Oryctolagus cuniculus: one gene and its partners. The main gene of each other region encodes a partner of the protein of the gene in region 3 in a complex. Links are inferred from orthologs where the notes say so. Each region holds a gene or a part of one and is shown on either strand. Other genes may lie near its edges. The genes, in order: TLE6, NEDD4L, YWHAG, CASP2, CAMKK2 and HDAC4.

Region 1 (3,998 bases), on a different chromosome or scaffold from region 3:
CTGGCCCCTGGCTCCGGCTTGGTCCAGCCCCGGCCGTGCGGCCCTCTGGGGAGTGACGGAGATCCGCGACGGAAAGCCCATTCTGTCCTTTAGTCCTGTCAGGTGCATTTTCAAAGACTCGACAGTCAGTGGTGAACACTGGGAATACAGAACATTCTGGAACGTTCTAGAAGGCAGGGCCTGCCCCGCTCATGTTCAGTCATCTGCCGCGTCCCTCATCACCCAACCGACCGTAACCACGCAGTTCCAGCTCGCGTGGCGAGATCCGCCCGCAGCCTGGGTGCCACAGGAACGGCCACGATAGACAGCCGGACGCGGCCGCCACGCCTGCGGCCGGCGTTTCCTTGCGTCCTGACGGAGCGCGCGCTCGCTCGCCCCGGGCGTGGGGGGCTCCGCAGCCGCCCCCGGACCCGTGCAGAGCACCCACATGGCAGGGGCAGGCCAGGTGCTGGGCTCACCAAGTACGAGACGTTCTCCAGCTGTGCGGTCACCTCCAAGGGGAGCCTGCGGGAGGGGAGGGGCAAGGCAGTGAGGTGGGAGGGGCACAGGCAGTGAGGCGGGAGGGGCCCCGCCCCGCCCCGAGGGGTGGAGCCTGCGGGAGGGGAGGGGCAAGGCAGTGAGGCGGGAGGGGCCCCGCCCCGAGGGGTGGAGCCTGCGGGAGGGGAGGGGCAAGGCAGTGAGGTGGGAGGGGGCACAGGCAGTGAGGCGGGAGGGGCCCCCGCCCCGAGGGGTGGAGCCTGCGGGAGGGGAGGGGCACAGGCAGTGAGGCGGGAGGCGGCCCTCCCCCACCCCGCCCCGAGGGGTGGAGCCCCGAACGCCAACACCCGCGCCTGGGTTCCAGTCCCGGCTGCCAGCGGTGATGGGTCCCTGCGCCCACACGGGAGACCCCACGAAGCTCCTGGCTTCCGCCTGGCCCAGACCCCGCCCCCAGCCCGCTGCTGCGGGCACTTGGGGAGCGAACCAGCGAACGGCTTTCAAGTAATTCAGAACCCAAAACACTTAGCAAGGCTGCAGTGTCTGAGATGCAGAGCCCGCACCCCCTGTGGGCGCGGGTTCGAGTCCCGGCGGCTCCACTTCTGACCCAGCTCCCTGCTAGGGCGCCTGGGGAGGCCGCGGAGGGCTGGGCGCCGGCAGCTGCGTGCGAGGCCGGGACGGAGCTCCTGGCTCCGGGTGGACCCAGCCCCAGCCAGTTGCGGCCATCTGGGGAGTGAACCAGCGGATGAAGGCCCTCTCTCTGCCCTTCAAAAACACAAATCTTCAAAAAATGTTTTAAAGTGGCCGGCGCCGCGGCTCACTAGGCTAATCCTCCGCCTAGCGGCGCCGGCACACCGGGTTCTAGTCCCGGTCGGGGCGCCGGATTCTGTCCCGGTTGCCCCTCTTCCAGGCCAGCCCTCTGCTGTGGCCAGGGAGTGCAGTGGAGGATGGCCCAGGTGCTTGGGCCCTGCACCCCATGGGAGACCAGGAAAAGCACCTGGCTCCTGGCTCCTGCCATCGGATCAGCGCGGTGCGCCGGCCGCAGCGCGCCGGCCGCGGCGGCCATTGGAGGGTGAACCAACGGCAAAGGAAGACCTTTCTCTCTGTCTCTCTCTCTCACTGTCCACTCTGCCTGTCAAAAAAAAAAAAAATAAATAAAAAAAATAAATAAAAAAAAAAAATGTTTTAAAGTGATGCAAAGCTGAGATCTGAAGGCAGGATTTTCAGAGACGCGAATGCAAAGTCGCCCGGGGCAGGGGCCCCCAGCTCGCTCACCCCCAGAGGGCCCCTCCCGCAGCTGCCCTCACCTGGGGGCCCGCTCGCGGAGGTCTTGCAGGGTGACGCGGCCGTCCAGGACCGGCAGCGCCTCGGAGGCAGAAGTCCCAGGGGGAGGCTGCACGGGGGGGGGGGGGGGGGCAAGGGAGAGAGACGGACAGGTGCGCACACAGGCCCCGCCCACCGGGCCCTCCTCCGCCACGGAGGCCGCGGGGATCGGACCAGGCCTGCTGGGGCGGGGCGAGAGCTAGAGCCACAGCCCTGCTCGGTGTCTTGCTCTCCCTGGGGCGGGGGCATTGGTCGCCTGCTGTGCCCAGTGGGGTGGGGGGTCTCAGACCCGATCCTCTTGACACCTGACGGTGAGGAACCTTCGTGTCCTGGAGCTGGGAGGGGGCTTTCCCTTCAAACCACCCACCAGGTGCTGCGGGGCCCCCGTCTCCAGGTGAGGCGGCCACCCGCTTCATTGCCCGCAGCTGCAGGGGCTGGCCGTGCCGCCGCACAGGTGGGCGTAAGACCAGACGGGGGCCGGGCAGCAGCGCTGGGTGGGAGCCTGGACCCTCACCCCGCCGCGCTGCGCCCTCCTTACCGGGGTGCGCTCCAGGGACGAGGGGGTGCGCCTGGGGCTGGGCGAGCCCGGGGAAGTCATTTCGAGACGGCAGCTTCCAGAACCCTAGGTCGGAGAGCTGAGGCTCGGAGAGGGACCGCCGCCCCAGCCCCCCGCCCCGCCCGGAGCCCCCTACCCGTGGGGGCTCACTCTCCAGGTGGGAGTGGGGATGGCGCCCACAGCAGGTGTCAACGCGGAGCCTCACTTCGCGACGGTTACTGGAAGCGGGGGGTGATTCCAAGGGGGTTTTGCAGAGTGAGCAGGAGTTCCCAGGGTGCGGATGGGGGTGCGGGAGCCGGCCCGACCGCGGACGCCTTTCCCGCCGCCCGCCCCGGCGCGGGAGCCCGGCTGCAGCCCACTCCCCCTCCCGGGAACCGGGGCAGCCGACGACGTACCTCCCGCAGAGCGAGAAGCCCAGGGGTCAGCCGGGTCCAGACCCCCAGCGAGCGCCTCCCCCCGCCCCCGGCCCCTTTGACCCGTCGGGCCCCGCCCCCGCCCAGGCTCCGCCCCCGCCGCGGACCCCAGTCCGCTCCCGACCAGAGCCAGCGTCGCACGTGGGCTCGGGCTCTGCGGGGCGGCCGCCTAGCGGCGCGGACCAATCGCGAGGCCGCCTGCCCACGTGCGCCACGGCCGCCGCCGCTGATTGGCCGTCTCTCCCCGGCCCTCCGGCCCGGCTGTCACTCAGAGGTACCCGGAGCCTGCGCTTAACCGTTGCAAGCCCGCGACGGCGAAGAGCAACTAGCAGAGCGGAGAGCTGGGGCGGGACTCGGGGGTCGGGGCGGGGCCTGAGAGAGGGGCTATATATAGTGCCTGGTGGCCAGCAGCCCCGCCCCCTTTCCTAGCTGCCCACTCCCTGCAGGGGCAGAGTAAAGGCCGGGTGGCTCCCGAGCTGGGCGCCCTGCAGGTGCAGAGCCGGGCCTGGGGCGCGTCCGAGATTGGGGTGGGGATGGGAGTCGTTCCTGGGACAGGGGACGCCTGTATGCGCGTGTGGGCCGCGCCCCGCTCAGAGGCGCCCTTCCCGCGGCCTGTGCCTGGGACACAGGCACAAGGCCTCTCCCCAGCCCTCCCGCCCCCAGAGACGCCCCCGTCCTGGGACACCAGCCCGCACCCCGCAGCCCCTGGGACCCAGGCGCCTCTGCTTTGTCCCTGGGGAGCGTGGCGTGTGGGGGCCGCGGTGCAGGCCTCGGAGCGCCCCCCCCCCCCGCCCCCAGGTTCTGATAGGAGCTCTAACAGCCCGGGGTTGTGGCCGGGTGGTCGGGTGGTCGGAGGGCGGTTTTCCGCAGTGGGCCGCGGCCGCTGGCGTCCTTCGCGGGCCTGGCTGCCCCTTCTCTCGCCGGCTCATCTGGACCTTGTTGGCTCCCGCCCGCACATGTGGCTGTTTAATTAAAATTAATTCAAATTAAATAAAATTTAAAGTCCTGTTCCTTAGGCGCACCGAGTGCGTGCCCGATGTGCAGCCGCCACCTGTGTCTGTGGGGATCTAGAACCTTCCGCGGGGTACCCGGATGCCGGCGCGAGGCGGGGGTGTAGGTGGGGCCTGGAGGTGGCGGCCGCCCCTCGTGGTGGGCGGGGTTGGGGCTGCTGCTTCCGGTTGATGTGAGAACCAGGGACCTGGCTGAAGGTTGGAGAGAGAAGGCGCCTACAT
Region 2 (3,500 bases), on a different chromosome or scaffold from region 3:
AACAGACAGTCCCTAAACCTTCCAAGTCGCCGGGGTGGTGCTATCGACACAGATCTGAAACGGCCCACGACACGGATGGGATGGGCAAGCCGGCTCTTCGGCTTGTGCCAGGTGCACTTCAGCAGTCATCACGCACAAGGTGGCATTCACGGGGCCCACGAAGCTGGGCAATGCTGACCCAATTTTCTCCAAGCCCAGAGTAGTCAAGGGGCTCACAACGAAACCAAACCGAACCAAATCAACCAAAAACTAACCGAATCAAACAATTCAGGCAGTCACTAAATGACTGCTAAATCAGACCACAGACTGAACTGGTAAGACCTAAGACCCCTGAAGCATTTAAACTGATGATAACTCGAAGAGTATAAGAACCGACTTTATTAACTAATGGTGACAGGATGAAAAGAATCTATCATCATCAGGAGTTCCCTGCTGTATTTTTTCCTACGAATCAGGCTGGCTAACATTTTTGGAGTCATGGTGCATTTCAGATTCAGCCACTGCGGCCTGTTTGTGAGCCTGACCTCGCGGGAAGGGCTGAGGCCCGCTTAGAAACGGGAACCCTGCCTCGGATTCTCCAGTTGAGAAGGATCTTCCCCACGATCCCAAAACCAGGCTGTAATCGACTTCAGTTCATTTCTCATGTAAACCTCATCACGCAACGCCCTCCTGACTGAAGCGGCAGATATCTGAAACGCCAAAGCGCCCCGGTGGCAGCCAGACTGTAGACGCCCAAGCGAATGTTTGCCTTCAAGATAAATGCGGCCGGCCGCGGCAGCTGCTGCCTGCGCTCAGCTCCCCGTCCACAGGAAACGCTCGCAGTGCTGCTGAATGGAGCGCGCGGGTCTGCGGGGCCACGGGCTCTGTTTTTGTTTTTTAAAGGAAAACGCATTTGCTCAAAAGCAAACCAACGTCCCGACCGTGAAACGATTTATGTAAGTGTAAACATGAGAACAACCATTTACTAGGAAAGCTCTGTAGTCCAGAATTTACGTCTCCTAATTGCCGGACTCTGTGTTCCACCACGGGGACTGCAAACTGGCACCGGCCTTATAACAGACACACGATTTTCAGCTTCTTCTATTTTCCAGTGGTATTAGAAATTTCGAGCCAAATGAGACTTGGATTGCGAACAATCCCTGCACCTGACGAGCGAGGTGCAACGTGGTCTATGCTTCTGTAACACAACTGAACCCTTGGGGAACCCTCAGGAGTGGCTTCTGACCATCTTCAAGGGTCGGTGGTCAAGTTCAGCATGGAAGGACCTGTGCTGCCAAATAACAGCTTCCAACTGTCCCGACGGTCACCCCCCGGGTGGGGGTGGGGGGTCTGAAAGCCACTCTTATACCTAATCGCCACAGAAATCTGTACCACTGTGTAAAAACCGGCATGGATCTGGACCAAGACAAAGGATGAAGCTATTTCCGAATAAGTAAGCTTAAGATTATAAAATCCTAATGGAAGAGGGAAGAAAAAAAAAAAAAAAAGAGAAATACATTTGTACCTAGCTTTGGACGGCACCTTCCAAACAGTGAGAACCAGTGATAGAACAGGGATAAAGCTCACTTGAATGACAGAAATATTTCCGAACAAAAGGCAACACAATTCTAGTTAATACTCAACCACTCACTCTGAAGATAACTCGCAAGTGAAACCCAAACCAAAAAATCCCCCAGGCATTTCATAATCACATCCTCAAACTCGCAATCACATGAAATTCGGTGGTGGTGGGGAGGGAGGAATCCAATTTGAAACGCAGGGAGCTGGTTCTTCCGGGCAGCGCCTGCGAGCCAGCAGCCACTAGCCGAGGACTGCGCCCGCATCCCGCTCCCAGCAGGAAAAGCCGCAGCGTCACCCTCGCCAGCAGGCCGGCAACTCTCTCTCTGCTCCATGTCACCCACAGGCCACAGCCGCTCCAGGGTGGACATGGCCACAGCCGGAGCAGGGGCCCTCCCAGCTTGGAAGGCGGCGAGGTCCCCCTAGGGACCCCCAGCCTCGGCCCAGGAGCCTGTCTGCTTCAACAACGCCATCTCCTCCTGGCCCACCCTGCTCCTGCTCAGTGCTCACAGGACAAAACCCAAGGCGATGAAGGACCCCAGGGCCGCCCCCTTCCCACCAGGCGCTGCAAGGGAGACCCGCCTTCCGCCTCGAGCCCTCTGCGGCGCCGCCTGCTCCTTACCCCAGAGGGCTGTGCCAGGCCGCACCGAGACATGCCGGGCCACCGACCTGTTTTTTTGGCAGATTAATTTCAAGTAATAAATTTTCAAAATTATTCTATACAGAAGCGAGAGGGAAGAAAAAAAAATAGTATGCTTTGCTTGAATTTCCAAAACAGGTTTCTCCAACTCTGAGGGCCTAGAGACAGGCCACTTTCTGGACCGCTCACTAGCCTTGCGGGCCTCTCCCGCACACTGGGCCGAATGTCATGGTCCCGGCCTGCCAGAACTCGAGCCCTGGCCGCGCACTTACCACGGCCCCGGCGGGACCAGGGCTTTCAGCGGGGTCCTCCGTGGCAGTGGCCGGCGCCTCCTCGGGCTCCCGGGTGACCAGAATCCGGAAATGCTGCTGCCCAACGTTTGGCTCCTGCCTGATCTTAAACATGCAACCCTGGCCCTGTGCAGCCCTCTCGGCCGAGTTCGTCCTGCGGATCTCCGGGGCCATCCTGCCGGCCCGCGGCGGTGCCTCCGGTGCGGCCCGGTCTTCCGTGGGGCTCCCTCGCCCGGCCCGCGGCTGCGTAGGGTACGAGGTGCTCCTCTCCAGCCGGATGCGGGGATAGCGCACCAGCCTGTCGCCCTTCGTGCCCGTGAAGCCGAAGTTGAAGTCGCCGCCCAGCCCCGGGCTGCCCACTGGGGGCTGCTGCAGCTGGAACACGAAGCAGCGCTTCCCGGAGCTCCCAGCAGCATCCGGGACGTGCTGCAAGGACCAGCGCCTGGGCTCGGCGGCGCCATCGGGGCCCAGGGGCAGCAGCCGCACCTGGCGCACGTCCGCGCTGGATGCGCGGTGCTGGATGCGCAGGCCGGGCACGGATTCCTCCGAGCCCTCGCCGCGGCCGGGGCCCCGCACTAGGCGGCCGCAAGTGCCGTTGACCAGCGGGCCTGGGTCCCGGGCGGCTCCCGGTGGGGAGCCCCCAGACACGTCCCTCTGGGCGGGCTCCGGGGCTCCACTCGGGGCCAGGGCCCTGGCGGCCGCGGCCTGGTCCCCGTCCTCGCTGTGGCCTTCGGGGCCCTCGGGCGGCCCGCACCCGTCGGTGGCCCCATCGGCGGCCTTGCGCTGCAGGGAGATCTGCACGGACGAGCTGCGCGTGGGCCGGGCGTCGAGGCCGGTGAGCAGCTGAGGGATGAACATGGACGAGCTGCGCTTGAGAGCGCCCACGCTGTCCTGCAGGCCGCCGCCACCGGGCGCGGTGCCGTGCGGGGCGCAGGGGTGCGGGCTGCTCCTCCGCGGCAGCGTGTGGAATGCCATGAAAAAGTCCTCTTCTCTCTCCTGGTCTAGGATCTCGG
Region 3 (4,022 bases):
CCATTCAGGCAGGTATTGCCCCATTCCACGGATGGGGAAAGGAAGTCAGAGGGAAACCTACTTGCTAAGTCAACATAAATAGCTTTCAAAAAACATCCTTGTTGGGGCCAGCACTGTGGTGCACCGGGTGAAGCCTGCTGGCATCCCCCTGAGCACTGGTTCAAGTCCTGGCTGCTCCACTTCCGATCCAACTCCCTTGCTAATGGCCTGGGAAAGCACTGGGGGACGGCCCAAGTGCTTGGGCCCCTGCATTCTCATGGGAGACCAGGAAGAAGCTCCTGGCTCTGGCTGTTGCAGCCATTTGGGAGAGTGAACCAGTGACGGAAGACCTCTCTCTGCCTCTCAAATAAATAAATCTTAAAAGAAAAAAAAAAAAAAAAAAACCCTGATTGTACAATTGGTTCTCTCCTCCCTGCTCTGTCGAGGAGAGGAAGCACAGAGCAGCTTCCCAAATCCTGAAGTCAAATGTTTCCTGAAAGGTCTCCGTTCCCTACGGCTTCCTGAGAATAACCCAGTGGGAAGCCGCAGTTTCTTAGGGTTTTCATTAAAACCTGCCAATTATTTGCAATAAACCCGAGTACACATTCCACCCCTGCACTGTGATCCTGTATTATTTTAAAAATTCTTTCATTCCGCTGTTGTCCCAATTTTTAAAATGTGCGAGATCAATGCTTCAAAAAGACGAAAGTATCTCATGGATCCTGAGACCAACTGGAAACGGGAAGACGAGTGAGGCATATCCAGGGGTCGCGGGTTTGCATGTCTGAGGGAAAAGGAAATTCGTGTTTTCTGGACCCGTTCTTATCTGGGGGAGGATAAAGGGCTCAGCTCCACCTGGCTCCTCAGCCACCTTCTGCACTCCTTGGACAGACGCCAAGTGCACACTCCTCCCAGCTCCGAGGTGCACTGCAGCCTCTGTGTCATTGTGCGTGACATCACTGGGCTGCTATGGGTACAGGTGCGAGGTCACTCGCCTTCCTGTGAAACTCGGAACATGGCAGAATTAAAGCCTAAATAAAGGACACGAACCGGAGATATTCCCAATAGTGTTGAGCAGATATTAAAAGTGCGACTTGCATTATCAGAGCATTAAAACGTTAAGAACTACCAACTCTGTGGATGTATGAAAACAGCACCATCTCCAATTTCAGAACAATGACCTTCCTCAACAGGATAAAAAAATTTTTGTTAATATCTGTAGCTGGAGCAAGGATAACAGACCAGCCTTGTCACCTTGCTGCTCAAGAATGAACGTAACCCACACCGCTCTGAAGGTGCAGCCTTAAACCGCAGCCCGAGAGGCGTTCTAACCCTGTTACATAAGGCAGGAAGTGAAATACTAAGGCGGTGGGAGCCCTAAACCATCCGTTTTCCTGCGTCTCCTTCAGCAATAGCCCCCCTCCCCTGAATTCACACTGCGGGCCGGGGCGAGCTGGGGCTCCTGACAAAATGGTGCAGCCGGGGGCAGGGACCCGCATCCCGCACAGACCAGACCGCGGGGCTGAGCGGGGCTGCCTCTCCTCCAGGGCGAGGGGCAGGAAGCTCCGGCGGCTCCCAGAGCGAATTCCTGAGCAAGGGCTCGCTCCCCTGGCCGCGAAGTGCTCCCTGCCTCCACCCAGTCTAGGCTCTCTGCAATATGACAAATGCAGAACCTTCTGGAACGCCTGGATCCTGCCTCCCACCACCGCTTTGTTTGCAATATCAGATCAGACGGACTGTGTGCCTATATCTCTATATATTTTTTTTCAACTTGTAGGAATTTCAACAGACGCGTGCCTGTGTTCAAAGAAGAAACAGGGAGCTAAATTCTCAACGTTTATTTTCAGGGCGATACCTACCCTTTCCAATGCAAGAACACAAGGGGAAAAAAATGGAGATGACATATTGAGAACAATCAATGGAAACGCCAGCGAGACAAACGCCCCCCCCCCAAAAAAAAAGGGCAGGGGATGCGCTTTGGGCCATGGAGCTACAGCCTTTTGTTAAGAAAAACGTGAGCCAGGAGGTTTCGATTTTGCACCGCGGAGCCCAGGTTTTCCGGAGCACCTTCCCCCCCCCCCCAACCCCCACACCCCGGGGAGGGTCCAAGGGCTGGGGAGGGGGTGGCCACCCGGGAGACCCGCCGAGCGGACGGGAAAGGCGCCGCCCAGACACCAGGGAGAGAAAGAGGAACGGCGTCCATGCGGCCCCCCGCCCCCACGCCCGGCGGGGAGGAGGGGAAGTGGGGCACAAAGGATGCGCAGGGCCCCCCGCACACCCGGAGACCAGACCCGCAAGACCCCGCCCAGCGCCGCCGGGCCCCCCGGGCGAGGCCGCGTCCCCACCCGGGTCCCCGCCGCAGCCCCCGCGGGGACGCAGCCCCCGGGCTGCCGCCCCCTCCCCTGCCGTCGCGCCGGGCCTTGCCCGCCGCTGACCGCGTGCCCCCCTCCCGGAGGGACGGGGGAGCGTGGGGGAGGGGAGGAGACACTCACGTTCTTCATGGCCGCGGCCATGTCGTCGTAGCGCTCCGCCTGCTCGGCCAGTCGGGCTTTCTGCACCAGTTGCTCGCGGTCCACCATCTTCGCGGGCTGGGTCGGGCCGGAGGGGGACACCGGGGCGGCCTGAAGGGGCTCGGAGGGCGGCTGCGGCGCGGCTGGGGCCCGTGTGCCGGAAAGACCGACCCACGAGGCGAGAGGCTGAGGCGGCGGCGGCGGCAGCGGCTGAGGCGGCGGCGAGGAGGAGGCGGCACGAGCTGCGACCGCGGGACCGGGCGCGAGGCGGCTGCGGCTGCTGTGCGTGCCGCGGGCGGACAACCCCCTGCGGCCCCGCCCACGCCGCGTGACGCAAGCGGCCCCGCCCACTCACCCGCGCGCGCGCGCGCGCGCGCCCGCCCGCCCAGGCCCCGCCCGGGCATTCGCGCCGCTCGAGCTTCGGTCCCCCATCCCCCAGCTCGGCCCGCTGCGGTCTTGCGAGTGTCCTCTGCTTCCCCGCTGCCCCCCGCCACGCTCCCACCCACCCACCCCTTTTTTTTTTTTTTTTTACTGCACCCGGATTCCTTCGCCTAAGCCTCTCCAGACTCCCCTCCCCCCTTCAGGCCCCGGGCCGGCCGGGCCTAGGGCGCGCGTGGGCTCCTGGGAGTTGTAGTTCACAACGCCGTCCAACGGCGCATTGAGGAAACCGAAGACAAAAGGGCGGCCGAGACTACATCTCCCAGTGTGCATAGCGCGCAGGGGCGTGGGAGGATGGGGCTCCTAAACCGGCGGACACGGGAGACCTCTGGCGGGGACGAGGGCGGCAACGGTCGGAGCGAGTGCTGATTCACGGCCCCGCCCCATGTCCTCTGGGCAGTTACCCGGGGAGGGGCGGGGCCCCAGCCCAGACCCTGTTTTCCAGGCAGAATAGCCGGTCATGGCGGGGAGCAGGGCCCGGGAGAGGGAATGAGGGGGCGCGGACACGGTAGCTCCAGCCTGTCAGCATGGCGCTCCCCCGCGCGACGGCTGCCTGAAGCGGGGGACTCTCTGTCCCCAAGCGAGGCTCCAGGTCCGCAGTCCCCCTGGAGGCTGCTGGACCTGTCCGGGTGACACGTAGGAAGCGGAATAGCGGCTGGGCACCCTGGTTCACGTCCCCAGGGGACGCGTCGGAGCCCGTTCCTCCGCTCCGGGTGGAGCTGCAGAATTTTTTATCTCCATGACACTGCGGCTGGGGCGGGCCACCCCTCTGCCCCCACCCAGCACCTGCACCCTGACACAGGCTTATTCCTGGGTTCCACAGCGCGCACCCACCCTCGCCTGCCTGCTTTGCATCAGTCGTTCGACAGGTATTGAGCGCCTGCTATGCTCCCAGCAATGAACGAAGCAGCAAAAAAAAAAAATCCCTGCCCCACAAAACAAGCGAGATAAAAATCAATAATGTGGGTTAGAAAGCAAAAAAAGGGAGTCCAAGGAAGGGCTCTGAACCTCACATGAGTTTCTGTGAGGGGAATATTCTAGACTCTGCTAGATGTCGGAGGAACCTGTCCTGGCAGAATTTAGGAGGTAAGTGCT
Region 4 (4,158 bases), on a different chromosome or scaffold from region 3:
TGCACTCCCCTCATTAGCCTGTCCTGGGGGGACCTCGGGCCTCCCTCCCCTGACACTGCACTCCCCTCACTAGCCTCTCCTGGGGGGACCTCGGGCCTCCCTCCCCTGACTGCACTCCCCTCACTAGCCTCTCCTGGGGGGGAGAACTGCACTCCCCTCACTAGCCTGTCCTGGGGGGACCTCGGGTCTCCCTCCCCTGACACTGCACTCCCCTCACTAGCCTGTCCTGGGGGGGACCTCGGGCCTCCCTCCCCTGACACTGCACTCCCCTCACTAGCCTTCCTGGGGGGACCTCGGGCCTCCCTCCCCTGACTGCACTCCCCTCACCAGCCTGTCCTGGGGGGGACCTCGGACCTCCCTCCCCTGACACTGCACTCCCCTCACTAGCCTGTCCTGGGGGGGGGGGACTCGGGCCTGCCCTCCCCTGACACTGCACTCCCCTCACTAGCCTGTCCTGGGGGGGACCTCGGGCCTCCCTCCCCTGACTGCACTCCCCTCACTAGCCTGTCCTGGGGGGGGGACCTCGGGCCTCCCTCCCCTGACTGCACTCCCCTCATTAGCCTGTCCTGGGGGGACCTCGGGCCTCCCTCCCCTGACACTGCACTCCCCTCACTAGCCTCTCCTGGGGGGACCTCGGGCCTCCCTCCCCTGACACTGCACTCCCCTCACTAGCCTCTCCTGGGGGGGAGAACCTAGGGCCTCCCTCCCCTGACACTGCACTCCCCTCACTAGCCTGTCCTGGGGGGACCTCGGGTCTCCCTCCCCTGACACTGCACTCCCCTCACTAGCCTGTCCTGGGGGGGACCTCGGGCCTCCCTCCCCTGACACTGCACTCCCCTCACTAGCCTTCCTGGGGGGACCTCGGGCCTCCCTCCCCTGACTGCACTCCCCTCACCAGCCTGTCCTGGGGGGGACCTCGGACCTCCCTCCCCTGACACTGCACTCCCCTCACTAGCCTGTCCTGGGGGGGGGGGACTCGGGCCTGCCCTCCCCTGACACTGCACTCCCCTCACTAGCCTGTCCTGGGGGGGACCTCGGGCCTCCCTCCCCTGACTGCACTCCCCTCACTAGCCTGTCCTGGGGGGGACCTCGGGCCTCCCTCCCCTGACTGCACTCCCCTCACTAGCCTGTCCTGGGGGGGACCTCGGGCCTCCCTCCCCTGACTGCACTCCCCTCACTAGCCTCTCCTGGGGGGACCTCGGGCCTCCCTCCCCTGACACTGCACTCCCCTCACTAGCCTGTCCTGGGGGGGACCTCGGGCCTCCCTCCCCTGACTGCACTCCCCTCACCAGCCTGTTCTGGGGGGACCTCGGGCCTCCCTCCCCTGACTGCACTCCCCTCACCAGCCTGTCCTGGGGGGGACCTCGGGCCTCCCTCCCCTGACTGCACTCCCCTCACCAGCCTGTTCTGGGGGGACCTCGGGCCTCCCTCCCCTGACTGCACTCCCCTCACTAGCCTGTCCTGGGGGGGACCTCGGGCCTCCCTCCCCTGACTGCACTCCCCTCACCAGCCTGTCCTGGAGGGGACCTCGGGCCTCCCTCCCCTGACTGCACTCCCCTCACTAGCCTGTCCTGGGGGGGACCTCGGGCCTCCCTCCCCTGACACTGCACTCCCCTCACTAGCCTGTTCTGGGGGGACCTCGGGCCTCCCTCCCCTGACTGCACTCCCCTCACTAGCCTGTCCTGGGGGGGGGACCTCGGGCCTCCCTCCCCTGACTGCACTCCCCTCACCAGCCTGTCCTGGGGGGGGACCTCGGGCCTCCCTCCCCTGACTGCACTCCCCTCACTAGCCAGTCCTGGGCCATCGCATGCACACTCAGAACTCAGTAATTCACTCCCCAACTAACCCTCAAGTTCTAGCCCTGAATCTTCACCCGACACCCTGAGTTTGAACCCGAAGGACTGTCTTCTCTCTGCACACTTGCTCCTTCGAGCACAGCCTTACATTTTAACTCTCCCACAGTGGCCAATCATCCAAAACTTAAGGACACACTTCGCAGGGGAGGGGGGAGGAGAGAACGCGAAGGGCAGAAGAATCCTAAAGTCTTGATGTCCTCAAGGTTCCCGTACCGACGTCCCACGTTATTCTGCTGGGTCTGGACCAGAGAGCACTAAGACACGTCCTCCTGGGCGACGTCCGCCACGGAACAAAGACGTGGGCACGCAAGTCCTACAGGGAGCCCCGGGAGCCCCTCGTGCTGCGCAAACTGCACCCCAAAGCCTGTGCGGCCGTCATCATGCGCAAAGCCAAGCGGGTTCGGACACAGTCGATCCAGCCCGGACAGCTCGAGCGCCTCGGGGCAGAGGACGTGCTCCTCCGAGGCAGCCGGGGGAGAGGATGCGGCGCCCAGAGCAGCACCAGAGAGAGGGACCCTCACTCGGGGCCCCGCGGGGCTGGACAAAGCCTGCGAGTCGACAAGGCCGAGAGGCCCGGGCGAGAACGTGCCGGGGCTCGGGTCGTACGGGGTCTCGGCTGGGCCAGCAGGGTGGGCTCGGCTGTCTGCAGAGGCCCCGAGGGGACCCGCGTTCTCCTCTCCTGTTCCCCATCAACCCCCCCTGAGACCCTCGCCCACTCACCTGCGCCCCCTGTCAGCGGCCAGCAGCCCCTTTTGCTGCAGGCTGGCCCGGGACCCCGCGCTCGGCGCCGCCATTTCCCGCTTTTCCCGGGCTGTGCACGTACCGCCCACAACCCAAACAAACCCCCGGCCGTCGCTTCCTCTGCATCCCTCCCCCGGCCGGAGGCGCACCCCGCGCCTGCGCCCTACAAACGCCCTGATCCTCCCCGACACCAGGCCGGCTCCGCCCCCGCCGTCCCTGGTACGAGCGCAGGCCCCGGAGCTCTCGCGGGGACCGCGCCGTCCAATGGGATGCGAGAAGGCGCTCGGCGGAAGGGGAAGGGGCGGGGAAAGAGCGAGGCGCCGTCCGACCTGGGAATCCGATTGGCTGCTGGTTCCCGCGGAAATCACGGCCCCCTCCCCCTGGTGCCACCCACTTCTCCGCCCCCTCCCCCCATTGCAATAACATCACTGAGTAAGGGCGGTCGTGTATTTCACTTTATTGACATGTTGAGGCCCAGATTGCGGAGAAGATGGCGAGACGCCCAGAAGGCCTTAGACAAATACCTGCGCAGTGAAGGTCAGCGAGGAGGCCGGGGTCAGCAATGATGTCGTCGCCCCCGGGGCCAGCACCCACAGCATAGCCCCGGAAGCCTCGTGTCCTTAGTGGGCTCCGAGGAAGCAGGGCAGGGGCCTGGGTAACGCTCGGGGATAGGCGGCTGAGCGATTGGAGACGCTTCGCAGGTGACCCGGGAGCTTTACATAGACGACCCCAGAGGGGGAGTCTTTAGAATCTGTGCCTCGTGGCTCTCCAAGGAGCTCCCATGTGCTCATCCTTTTCTGCCACTCACATCCGGCATCGTCAAACCTGGAAGTCCCCAGTTGGGGCCTGAAGAGCGATGGGGACCCGATGAGCGGTGCCTGGGCCGCTGTGCACACGACGTTGATTATTTGATTCGTTTTGCAAGGAGTCTTCCCAGCCAAGCTCGGCCCGCCCCGTCTGTAGACAACTCCCCTCCTCCTTCTATCTAGATATAAAGCCTTTTACCTCTGTTTTCTCCCAAGACAGAGATTGCGAGATGTAGGAGTGGCCTGACTTCCCGTTATCTGGTATTGAAAACACAATAGGCTTCAGAATTAGAAGTTCAAGCTTTTTATATTTGCTGCCGGTGCGCCCTTGTGCAAATAGTCGAACTCCCCTGACCTTTGGAATCCTCATTTTTCAATGAGGGCAATGCCTCACGAGGCTGTTAGTCTAAGGGGTCTAATGGAGGCAGAGCACCTGCAGTAGAAACCTGTGACACATTTGACATTTAGATGTCACTTCCTCCTCCAGTTTCTCTGGGCAATCTACTGAAATACTAAACATAGGGTAGGTCACCGGACGGTGCCAGGAGACTCATGGCGCCACCCTCATCCCAGTTGGGAAAGGGCTTACCGTAGCCTCCTCCCCTCTGGGTTCAAGTCCCCGTTTGTGATGTCCGGGAGAAACAGTTCCTCACGCATAGTAGACACAGGGAAATGTTGATCGGATGAATAGGTGGGTCTGGTGTGGAGAGATGATCAGTCGTGGGAGAGTCCTTTAGGGTGGTGTCCAGCTGTCT
Region 5 (4,041 bases), on a different chromosome or scaffold from region 3:
CTCTGCCTGTCAAAAAAAAAAAAAAAAAAAAAAAGTTAAGCAAGCTCCTGGCTCCACTTCCACCCCGTCCGCTGATGGACACCAGGGAGGCGGCCACGATGGCTTTGGTGCCTGGGCCCCTGCCACCCATGTGGGAGACCTGGATGGAGTTCCTGGCTCCTGGCTTTGGCCTGGCTCAGCCCCAGTTTCTGCAGGGTTTGGGGAGTGAATCAGTAGATGCAAGCTCGATCTCTCTCCCTGTCAATAAATAAAGTGTTAGATGTTTAGGTTGGTGTTACGTGGATTTTATAAGCGCGTGTGAATGTCCATTAACAACTGAGTAAGCGAAGAGCACAGATGGAAAGAAGAAAGGCCAATTCTAGCATAGCAACGCAGCCTCCTCGACCCATGGACGGGAGGGCGGAGCCAGCACAGCCAACCCGCAGCCTCGTCCGAAGGGGAGCCACTGGTGGGAAGACGGAGCTTCAGAGACAAACAGCAGGACCAGGCCCTGTGCCTCGGCGGAAGTGGGCAGTGGTCTGCCTCGGCGGAAGTGGGCAGTGGTCTGCCCGCTTCCCTCGGGCAGCAGCTCGGAGGGGAGGCAGCCTCTCCAAGCCCTTCCGTGACACGGGGTCGCAGCAGGGGAAGGCCGGCTCTGGTCCAGGTTAAAATCTAAAACGCCCTGGAAGCAGGCGTGCCCCCGCCCCAACCGTTCCTCGCTACCCCTCACAGGGGCATCTCCCATCCAGGCTTAGCCCCCCCCCCATGCCCTCCCCCTCCCCCTCCCATCCAACCTCCCCCCAAGGCCCAGCACAAGCGACACCTCCCTCAGGAAGCATCCGGGATTTACTCCCAAAGGAAGGGATTTCCCCAGAACTTCCAAGGTCCTCTGCCCCCTCCGTTCCCACAACTTTTATCCCTGGTGGTGCTTCCCGGTGGGGGCACCACAGGGCGTGTGGGATGCGGCAACTCTGCACGGCCACAAGCCAGGGTGCTCAGCACCACCCAGGCACCAGAAGCTGCCCCCACATTGTCCAAATGCTCCTGGGTGGGTGGGAGACAGCCCCCTGCCAAGAATAACAGCCTAGGTAGTAGGGGCTACATCGGCCCCTGACACCTGCAAAGGGCCCGCGGAGCTCTGTGCCCCTGGGAGACAACCACGGGCTCAAGAAGCTGCCAGCGGTGAGGCCAAAAAGGCTCTCGGCCCCGCCACACACCCAGTCGCACCCGGCTGTGCGACCCCGGGAAAGTCACTCAACCTCTCTGAGCCCGTCTCCAAACCGGGACTAAATCCTAGCCACCAAGAGTGCCATCCTCCATCTCCTCCCCATCTGCGCAGGATTCTGGTAGGCGTTAAGTGTGAGATGATGCGCGCACCACACAGCACAGCCTCGGGGCAGAGCAGGAATAAGTGCCGGTTATTAACGTTATTATTGCCCAAGTTAGGAGCTCGCCCGATGACGCCTATTATTCTTTATTACAAAAATGCGCCGAGCACCCTCATCACCGACGCCTGCACTCCTACAGGAAGGGGCTGGAGCAGCCATCTGACGCTGCGTCTGCCCAGCAGGCACAGTTTACTCCCAAAGTGTGTTTTTTGGTGAGGCGGTTGGAGCTCCCATCCCTAGGGCCTCCCCTCTCCCACCCCCACCCCGCCTGGCTGCAGCAGACCCCCGCCTCTTCAAGGAACAAAGGAGCCAGGGGGACCCAGGGCGCGCCGCCCTGGCAGAGCCAGCGGCGGGGGAGTGGTAAACACCACGCAGCTCCAAGGCACCTCAAGTTTCCATCGCCAGGGCGGCTGTCTCAGCTGAAGGGCGAAAGTTGCCTCCAGGGAGGCGGCCGCCGCGCGTCCCACCCGAGCCCGGGGCGCCCCCGTCTCGCGGCTGGCACTGACAAGTCCCCACCCAAGCTCCATCCCTCGGCCTCCGCCGCGGAGAGGCTGGGCGCTGGGCAACACCCCGCTGCCCAAGCCGGGCGGCGCCCCGGGGCCCAGGACCCCGCGCCGAGAGGGGCTGGGCCCAGCATCCCGGAGTCAGGCGCAAGGTGCCAGGGTAAGGCTCCTCTCCGCATTCCCCGCCTGCTGCAGCCCAGGCAAATTTAGGTCAAAAGGACCAAGGCTTCGGACCTGCGGCGGCGGTGGTCAGGGGCAGACCGTGCCCTGCGAAGCGGCCGAGGTCCCCACCCTCGCTGCTCTGCGGTCCTGCCACCCGGTGTCCAGGCGGCCGGGGCCTGGGTTTGCCCCAGACCAGCGCGCGAGGGGACGCGCCAAGTCCGCGGGCCCCACCTCCCCCGCGCGCTCCAAGTTCCCCCGCCTGACAACCGCGAGGGGGCTGGGCCTACGCCGCCTCCGAGACCCTCCACAGCCCCGGCCGCCCCGCGACACCGGTTCCAAACTCTGCGCCCGCCCCCCGCCACCCAGGCCGGTAGCGGCCCAGCCGACGAGGCCACCCCGAGGCCCCGAGGCGGACGCGGGGAAGGGGCGCGGGGGGCCGCATCCCTCCACGTGGCGGGGCGTGGGGTGCTGCACGTGGGGTCCCCTCCGCGGAGGGGGCCCCCGGGGCTCTGTCTGCAACCCCGGCGGCGGCCCCCTCGCCTCGAGAGGGCAACGGCGACGGCGCCCGGGGGCTGCTGCTGCGGCGGTGGCCCCGGCCCCCGCCCGGCTCCCGCCAGCTCACCTGGGCTCCGCGCCGCCGCCTCCCGCGCGTTGCGCCCCCGGCTCCGCTCGGCGGGGCTCGCTCGGCGGCCGCGCGCTGCTCTCCGCGGTGCGGGCGGGGGCGGGCGGAGCCGCGGGGCCCGGCTCGGGCGCGGCGCCGCCTCGGGCTGCGCGGGGATTGGCCGCGGCCGCTGGGAGCCCGGGCGCGGCACCGCCCGCGCCCGCCACGCGCCGCTCCCTGCGCGCCCCCGCCGGCTCGGCCCCGCGCCGGGGCGGGGAGGGGAAGCGGGCGCCGGCGCGACGGGGCCGCGGCCAAGGCGCAGGGGCGGGCAGGGGAAGTGAGGCGCGGCCGCGGGCTCCGGGGCGGGTGCCGGAGCGCCGGAGGCCGCGCTGCGCTTTGCACCCGCCCGTCCCGCGGCTCTCGGCGCGCACCTGCCGGGTGCTCCTCCGCGGGCGGGCGGGCGGGCGGCGCTCGCTTTGTTTTAGCCAAACGCAGGGCGGCGCCTGAGTCTCAGAAAGTTCGCTGGGCTGGCTAAGTCCCGCCCCAGGTTTCGGGTCCCCCACCCGCGTTCGCGGCCGACCCGCTGCGCAGGGCCGGCCCCGGAGGCTGCGGAAGGAGTGCGCCTCCCACCCCCACCGCGCCTGGATGCGGCAGGCTGCCCGGAAGCCGCCCGAGTTCTGACTTTCGCAGGAGACCGCCCAGAAGCTTGGACAGGCTGGGTAGCGGTACCGCGAGGGGTGGGGCGGGGAGCCGGACCAGAGCGCACGAGTTGTCTGACGCGTGGCCCCGGGGGCGCCCGGAGACCTGTCCCGGGCGGACAGCGACCCCAGGCCGCTCTTCCCGGCCCTGCCGTGCAGCCCCTCGGGACTCGGGAGCTGGGGGAGGCCGCAGGGCCCCCAGCTTCGAAGGCTCCTCGCGCGCTGGGCGGATCCCCGGCCCGCTTCTGTGGATTCCGGGGAGATGCCCCCCCCCCCCACTTTCCGAGTCTGGGAGGCCCTCTGCGATGGCCGTCTGCAGAGGGAGACACAAAACCTGTTCCACTCCTCCAGTGGTCTGCTCCACCTCGTGGAAGGGGGTGCGTTACCGTTGTTTGTCCAACACCAGGAACTCGCAGAGCCCCGCGTGGAGGGAAGAGCAAGGTGCGGAGCACAGGGCGCTGCGCAATCTCTGGGCAGTTTTTTTTTTTTTTTTTTTTTTTTGATTTATTTATTTATTTGAAAAGCAGAGTTAGAGAGAGGCAGGCACACACATGCGCACCCGAGAGAATCTTCCACACATCGGTTCACTCCCCAAGTGGCTGCAATGGAGCCAGGAGCTTCATCCAGGTCGCGCACGTGGGTGCAGGGGTCCAGGCAGTTGGACCACCCCCGCTGTTTTTCCAGGCCATTAGCAGAGAGCTGGAGCAGCC
Region 6 (3,948 bases), on a different chromosome or scaffold from region 3:
CACCTGCCCCAGGGGGCGGGGCTGCTCTCTCTCACCTGCCCCAGGGGCCAAGCCACCCTAACCCCCTTATGTTCATGATGTGAACCGAAAGTGGAAAAGGCTCCTTACTTAAACCACAGGACACCTGCTCAACCACAGCCCCCAGGCTCCAGGCCCTGGTAACACAGGAGTGGTGGTGTAAGAGCCAACTGACGGGGCCGGTGCTGTGGTGTAGTGGGTAAAGTTGCTCCCTGCTGTGCCAGCATCCCACGTGGGTGCTGGTTCCAATCCTGGCTGTTCCACTTCTGATCCAGCTTCTTGCTATGAGCCTGAGAAAGCTGCAGAAGATAGTCCTGGGCCCCTGCACTCATGTGGGAGACCTGGAGGAAGCTCCTGGCTCCTGCCTTCAGCCTGCCCTGCCCTGGCTGTTGCAGCATTTGGGGAGTGAACCAGCAGATGGAAGCTCTCTCTTTCTCTTTCTCTCTCTCTCTCTGTCTTCCATCTCTCCCTCTCTGTAACTCTGCCTTTCAAATAAATAAATAAATAAATAGCCAAGGCAAGACCCTTCCCCAATGTCCCCAGCAAATCACCAGGCAGCCACAGCCCCACTTCCCACTTACCCCTAGGCCAGGACACCACTGGTGGAGAAAACTTTCCAAAGAGACCACAGGAACCCGTAGGGATGTCCAGGGTATATGGGGATGCGGGGGCGGGGGGGCTGCACCTGTGTCCACCTCCCTGGGGAAGCTCCATGCCCCGGGTCTGGAGAGTCAGGGAGGAGTGGGGGCCCCAGGGGCTGGCCAGGTTGGGCTGTGCCATCCCAGCATCTCCTGGGCCTCAGACACTCCATCGACCCCCGGGGGTAGAGCCCTCAGGACGTCCATGCTCAACTGGGCCTGCACCTTGTCTGGAAAGACAGGAGGAGAGCTTGGGCACAACGCCCCGAGCCCCAGGGTGGGCTCCACGTTCCAACAGCCACCCTGGGATGGATGGGAACTGTGTCCAGGATCCTCCGGGAAGCATGAACTATTTTTAAAAACAGAAGCAGGGGCTATATTTAGAAATGAAACACTGAAGAGCCTGCCTCCTGGTGAGGCCCTACAGCCCAAGCAGGGAGGCGGGAGAGGAGCCTCCAAGGGTGGGAGCCCCAAGACCTCGGGGGCCAGGTGGTCACAACCAGGTCCCCACTGCTGGCCAGGAGCCCGCAGGGCAGGGGTGCTCCGCGAGCAGAAAGGCATGTCCCCCCCACCCCGTCCTTGCGCAGGAAACACGGGCACTGCTGCGGCCCGCCCCGGCAGCTCACTGAGCACCCCAAGTCCACTTCCCAACACGGACGGGGCACTCGCTCGCGTAACTGTCTGACGGCCACACCGGTTCTAGGCGAGCACGGCCGCGACGGCCCCTCCTCAGCTTCCTCTTAGAACGGGTGAAGCGGAGCGAGGCCGGTGAGCGTTCTCCACTTCTTTCCAGACGCTGCGGCCCGAAGCGCCCAGAACCGTCACGCACGCCTGTCCCTACAGCACTGGGATTCCTGACATCTGCACAGCCAGGACCCAGCTGCAGCCCCCTCCCGCACAGCATGGCGTGGCCCCCCAGCCTCTCTGCTCCCTCAGGTGTGTTTTAAAACGACGAAGCTGCGTGAACACATCTCGCCAGGCCCAGCACCCAGGAAACGCTCCCCTGCACAGGAGCCACGGCCCACAGACACGGTGAGCGGGAGAGCCCGGCACAGAGCCCCGCCCTTGGGACGGGAAGGAGCCGGGATCCCCTTCTACCTCCGACACAGGCTCTGGTGACCCGGGACGCGGGATCGCCTGTGTGGCTTCCGGCCACAGCCCTTCCTAGTGAGAAAGCAACACTTCCATAGCTTTAACCAACCAGGGTGAGGGGCCCGGCCACACCCCGAGCTCCGCTCCAGCGTCTCCTTAGCACAGCGAGGAAGCCGCAGCTTTCCCCAGCAGATCCGTGACCGAACGGAAAGAGCAGCGGAGACGCCTCTGGTTCTGGTCCGAGTGAAACACGCAGCCTTCACCCGAGGCCACGGCGGCTTCCAGCCAGGGAGACCACACTTCTGACGGACGGGGTGTGCCTTTCACTCCCCAAGGGCACCCAGCGCCCACCTCTGCGCGGGGCAGGGCTCGGCCCCCAGCACAGCACGGAGGCCTCTGCTGCCCGCGAGCTGCCTCTTTAGGGCCCCGAGTGTGGAGCAGCCAGCCCTCAGTAAGCGCTCACTGGCCCCGGCCACACAGCCAGTCCCTGACCAACCACACCTCCCCCCTTCACTCCTAATCCGGAGCCCTTTGGAGGCATCTCGCAGGCCAAGGGCGGTGGCCAGAGCCCTCGGCCCCAGCATTCTAACCCGGGTCCGCTAACAAGTCACCAGGCCGCAGCGCGCCGGAACCCCGGGACGCGTGTCTGCCCGCAGAGGCACTCCTAGCCCACCGGCACTTTACCTTCAGGCAGGACTTCTGCTCGTGCCCAGAGACCCGTCAGCAGTCGCTCCTCCGAGGGCATTCGATGGTTTCACGGGGCGGCGGCCCAGGCCCTGCCTGCTCCCGGGCGCTGGCTGAGGACGGCTCCCTCGGCCCCGCCCTGACATCTGGTTTCCATTTCACCTCCATGTTGTCACATTACATAACAGACAGATGATACACGGGATCGCCACGAGAGGCTCGGCTGGCGGCTTGCGCAGCACACTGTTTACGTTCCGGCCCAGCCACGCCAGGGCAGGCTCACGCAGCACTGGCAGCAAACGCGCGCCGGGCAAGCGCCCTGCTCCTGCCCTCCTCACACCCCACGCTCACGGCTGAGGCAAGCGCTCGCCTGCGGCCTGACGGAGGTTCGTCTTTGAAGACAGGCAGCAACGCGGCCACAGCAGCCTGAGTCGCGGGAGCCTGGGAGACCCACAGCCAACAGGAGGGGCGATCGGGAGCCTCCCCGGGGAAGCGGCCACCCCCACCCCTCCTGCCCCTCCGGAGCTTGCCTAGGGAGACGGGGTCACCCCAAACATGCCCACCCCCCACCCCGGGCTCTGCTGTGACAGCAGGGCCGGGGCTCCCTCCCACGCCTGGCCTCTCTGGTCAAGATGTCCCCTCCAGGGCTGGGTGCTTGGCACAGCAGTTAAACCACGGCTTGGGACACCGCATCCCGCGTGGGGGCACTGGCTGAGTCAGCTCCACTCTGCACCCCAGCTTCCTGCTAACAGGTACCCCGGGAGGCACCAGGAGACGGCTCAGATGGCTGGGTTCCCGATACCCACGTGGGAGACCCAGATTGAGTGACCGCTGGCTTCAGCCTGGCCCAGCCCTGACTTGGAGACATCTGGGAAATTTCTGTCTTTGTCCCCTCCACAGTGGGGAGAGCATGTGGTTGGCGAACAACTTAGGGGCTTCGGAAGCAGCTAGCACTCAGAAGCAAACCACCGAACCACAGGAAGTCTGACCGGTGAGCGGGCCATCCAGGCCGCCATCCCTGGGGGGACTGTGCAAACAGAGCTGAGCGCCGAAGCCGCTTCTCATTACTACAGACTGGGCAAGGCCCGGCGTGCCAGCGGCCAGCTGTGGGCCATCCCCGCGTCCCTGACTGCCGGGGCCGGGGGCGGGCTCCAGGCTCCAGGCTCAGGCTCCAGGCTCCAGGCTCAGGCTCAGTCTCCAGGTTCAGGCTCAGGCTCAGGCTCCAGGCTCAGGCTCCAGGCTCAGGCTCAGGCTCCAGGCTCAGGCTCAGGCTCAGGCTCCAGGCTCAGGCTCCAGGCTCAGGCTCAGGCTCCAGGCTCAGGCTCAGTCTCCAGGTTCAGGCTCAGGCTCAGGCTCCAGGCTCAGGCTCCAGGCTCAGGCTCAGTCTCCAGGTTCAGGCTCAGGCTCAGGCTCCAGGCTCAGGCTCCAGGCTCAGGCTCAGGCTCCAGGCTCAGGCTCCAGGCTCACGTTCAGGCTCAGGCTCAGGTTCAGGCTCCAGGCTCACGTTCAGGCTCAG

The links.
Region 1: the proteins of YWHAG (region 3) and TLE6 are in contact, whole or in part, in a cryo-EM structure (PDB 8XI3), measured with the Mus musculus proteins. The link is inferred for Oryctolagus cuniculus from reciprocal best matches to the Homo sapiens genes YWHAG and TLE6. Residues at the interface, in NP_061359.2 of Mus musculus: Lys50, Arg57, Arg61, Lys125, Asp129, Arg132, Tyr133, Gly174, Leu177, Asn178, Val181, Glu185, Phe201, Asp202, Ile205, Ala206, Leu208, Asp209, Glu213, Tyr216, Lys217, Thr220, Leu221, Ile222, Met223, Gln224, Leu225, Arg227, Asp228, Asn229; in NP_444484.1 of Mus musculus: Phe137, Leu138, Ser139, Glu140, Ser141, Asp142, Leu144, Gln145, Leu295, Arg347, Asn430, Leu447, Gln470, Met472, Asn489, Asp510, Asn511, Thr512, Met530, Pro553, Arg555.
Region 2: the proteins of YWHAG (region 3) and NEDD4L are in contact, whole or in part, in a crystal structure (PDB 6ZC9), measured with the Homo sapiens proteins. The link is inferred for Oryctolagus cuniculus from reciprocal best matches to the Homo sapiens genes YWHAG and NEDD4L. Residues at the interface, in NP_036611.2 of Homo sapiens: Lys50, Arg57, Arg61, Lys125, Arg132, Tyr133, Gly174, Leu177, Asn178, Val181, Tyr184, Glu185, Leu225, Asn229, Leu232, Trp233; in NP_001138439.1 of Homo sapiens: Pro444, Arg445, Ser446, Leu447, Ser448, Ser449, Pro450.
Region 4: the proteins of YWHAG (region 3) and CASP2 are in contact, whole or in part, in a crystal structure (PDB 6S9K), measured with the Homo sapiens proteins. The link is inferred for Oryctolagus cuniculus from reciprocal best matches to the Homo sapiens genes YWHAG and CASP2. Residues at the interface, in NP_036611.2 of Homo sapiens: Glu15, Asn43, Val47, Arg57, Arg61, Lys125, Arg132, Tyr133, Pro170, Gly174, Leu177, Asn178, Val181, Glu185, Glu213, Asp214, Lys217, Asp218, Leu221, Ile222, Leu225, Asn229, Leu232, Trp233; in NP_116764.2 of Homo sapiens: Asp137, Leu138, Ser139, Leu140, Pro141, Phe142, Pro143, Val144, Cys145, Glu146, Leu150, Lys152, Lys153, Leu154, Ser157.
Region 5: the proteins of YWHAG (region 3) and CAMKK2 are in contact, whole or in part, in a crystal structure (PDB 6Y6B), measured with the Homo sapiens proteins. The link is inferred for Oryctolagus cuniculus from reciprocal best matches to the Homo sapiens genes YWHAG and CAMKK2. Residues at the interface, in NP_036611.2 of Homo sapiens: Ser46, Val47, Lys50, Asn51, Arg57, Arg132, Tyr133, Gly174, Leu177, Asn178, Val181, Glu185, Ile222, Leu225, Asn229, Trp233; in NP_001257414.1 of Homo sapiens: Leu99, Ser100, Leu101, Gln102, Glu103, Arg104.
Region 6: the proteins of YWHAG (region 3) and HDAC4 are in contact, whole or in part, in a crystal structure (PDB 3UZD), measured with the Homo sapiens proteins. The link is inferred for Oryctolagus cuniculus from reciprocal best matches to the Homo sapiens genes YWHAG and HDAC4. Residues at the interface, in NP_036611.2 of Homo sapiens: Asn43, Leu44, Ser46, Val47, Lys50, Asn51, Arg57, Phe122, Lys125, Arg132, Tyr133, Gly174, Leu177, Asn178, Val181, Glu185, Leu221, Ile222, Leu225, Asn229, Trp233; in NP_001365345.1 of Homo sapiens: Ser348, Pro349, Ser350, Leu351, Pro352, Asn353, Ile354, Leu356.

Annotation. Positions count from the first base shown.
Region 1 is NC_091447.1:59,670,061-59,674,058, forward strand, and holds the start of TLE6 (transducin-like enhancer protein 6), read right to left. Parts: upstream 2,801-3,998; 5' UTR 2,504-2,800; intron 2,420-2,503; 5' UTR 2,396-2,419; coding exon 2,336-2,395; intron 1,868-2,335; coding exon 1,782-1,867; intron 505-1,781; coding exon 459-504; intron 1-458. UniProt on the Homo sapiens protein: Component of the subcortical maternal complex (SCMC), a multiprotein complex that plays a key role in early embryonic development.
Region 2 is NC_091441.1:20,107,563-20,111,062, forward strand, and holds part of NEDD4L (E3 ubiquitin-protein ligase NEDD4-like), read right to left. Parts: coding exon 2,470-3,500; intron 1-2,469. UniProt on the Homo sapiens protein: E3 ubiquitin-protein ligase that mediates the polyubiquitination of lysine and cysteine residues on target proteins and is thereby implicated in the regulation of various signaling pathways including autophagy, innate immunity or DNA repair.
Region 3 is NC_091450.1:44,225,998-44,230,019, reverse strand, and holds the start of YWHAG (14-3-3 protein gamma), read right to left. Parts: upstream 2,801-4,022; 5' UTR 2,559-2,800; coding exon 2,472-2,558; intron 1-2,471. UniProt on the Homo sapiens protein: Adapter protein implicated in the regulation of a large spectrum of both general and specialized signaling pathways. Binds to a large number of partners, usually by recognition of a phosphoserine or phosphothreonine motif.
Region 4 is NC_091434.1:180,474,528-180,478,685, forward strand, and holds the start of CASP2 (caspase-2), read right to left. Parts: upstream 2,801-4,158; 5' UTR 2,651-2,800; coding exon 2,577-2,650; intron 1-2,576. Other genes in the region: TMEM139 (transmembrane protein 139), read right to left, coding at 4,137-4,158. UniProt on the Homo sapiens protein: Is a regulator of the cascade of caspases responsible for apoptosis execution. Might function by either activating some proteins required for cell death or inactivating proteins necessary for cell survival.
Region 5 is NC_091452.1:7,645,278-7,649,318, reverse strand, and holds the start of CAMKK2 (calcium/calmodulin-dependent protein kinase kinase 2), read right to left. Parts: upstream 2,801-4,041; 5' UTR 2,655-2,800; intron 2,242-2,654; exon of another isoform or gene 2,105-2,241; intron 1-2,104. UniProt on the Homo sapiens protein: Calcium/calmodulin-dependent protein kinase belonging to a proposed calcium-triggered signaling cascade involved in a number of cellular processes. Isoform 1, isoform 2 and isoform 3 phosphorylate CAMK1 and CAMK4. Isoform 3 phosphorylates CAMK1D.
Region 6 is NC_091434.1:1,481,343-1,485,290, reverse strand, and holds the start of HDAC4 (histone deacetylase 4), read right to left. Parts: upstream 2,801-3,948; 5' UTR 2,494-2,800; coding exon 2,433-2,493; intron 1-2,432. UniProt on the Homo sapiens protein: Responsible for the deacetylation of lysine residues on the N-terminal part of the core histones (H2A, H2B, H3 and H4).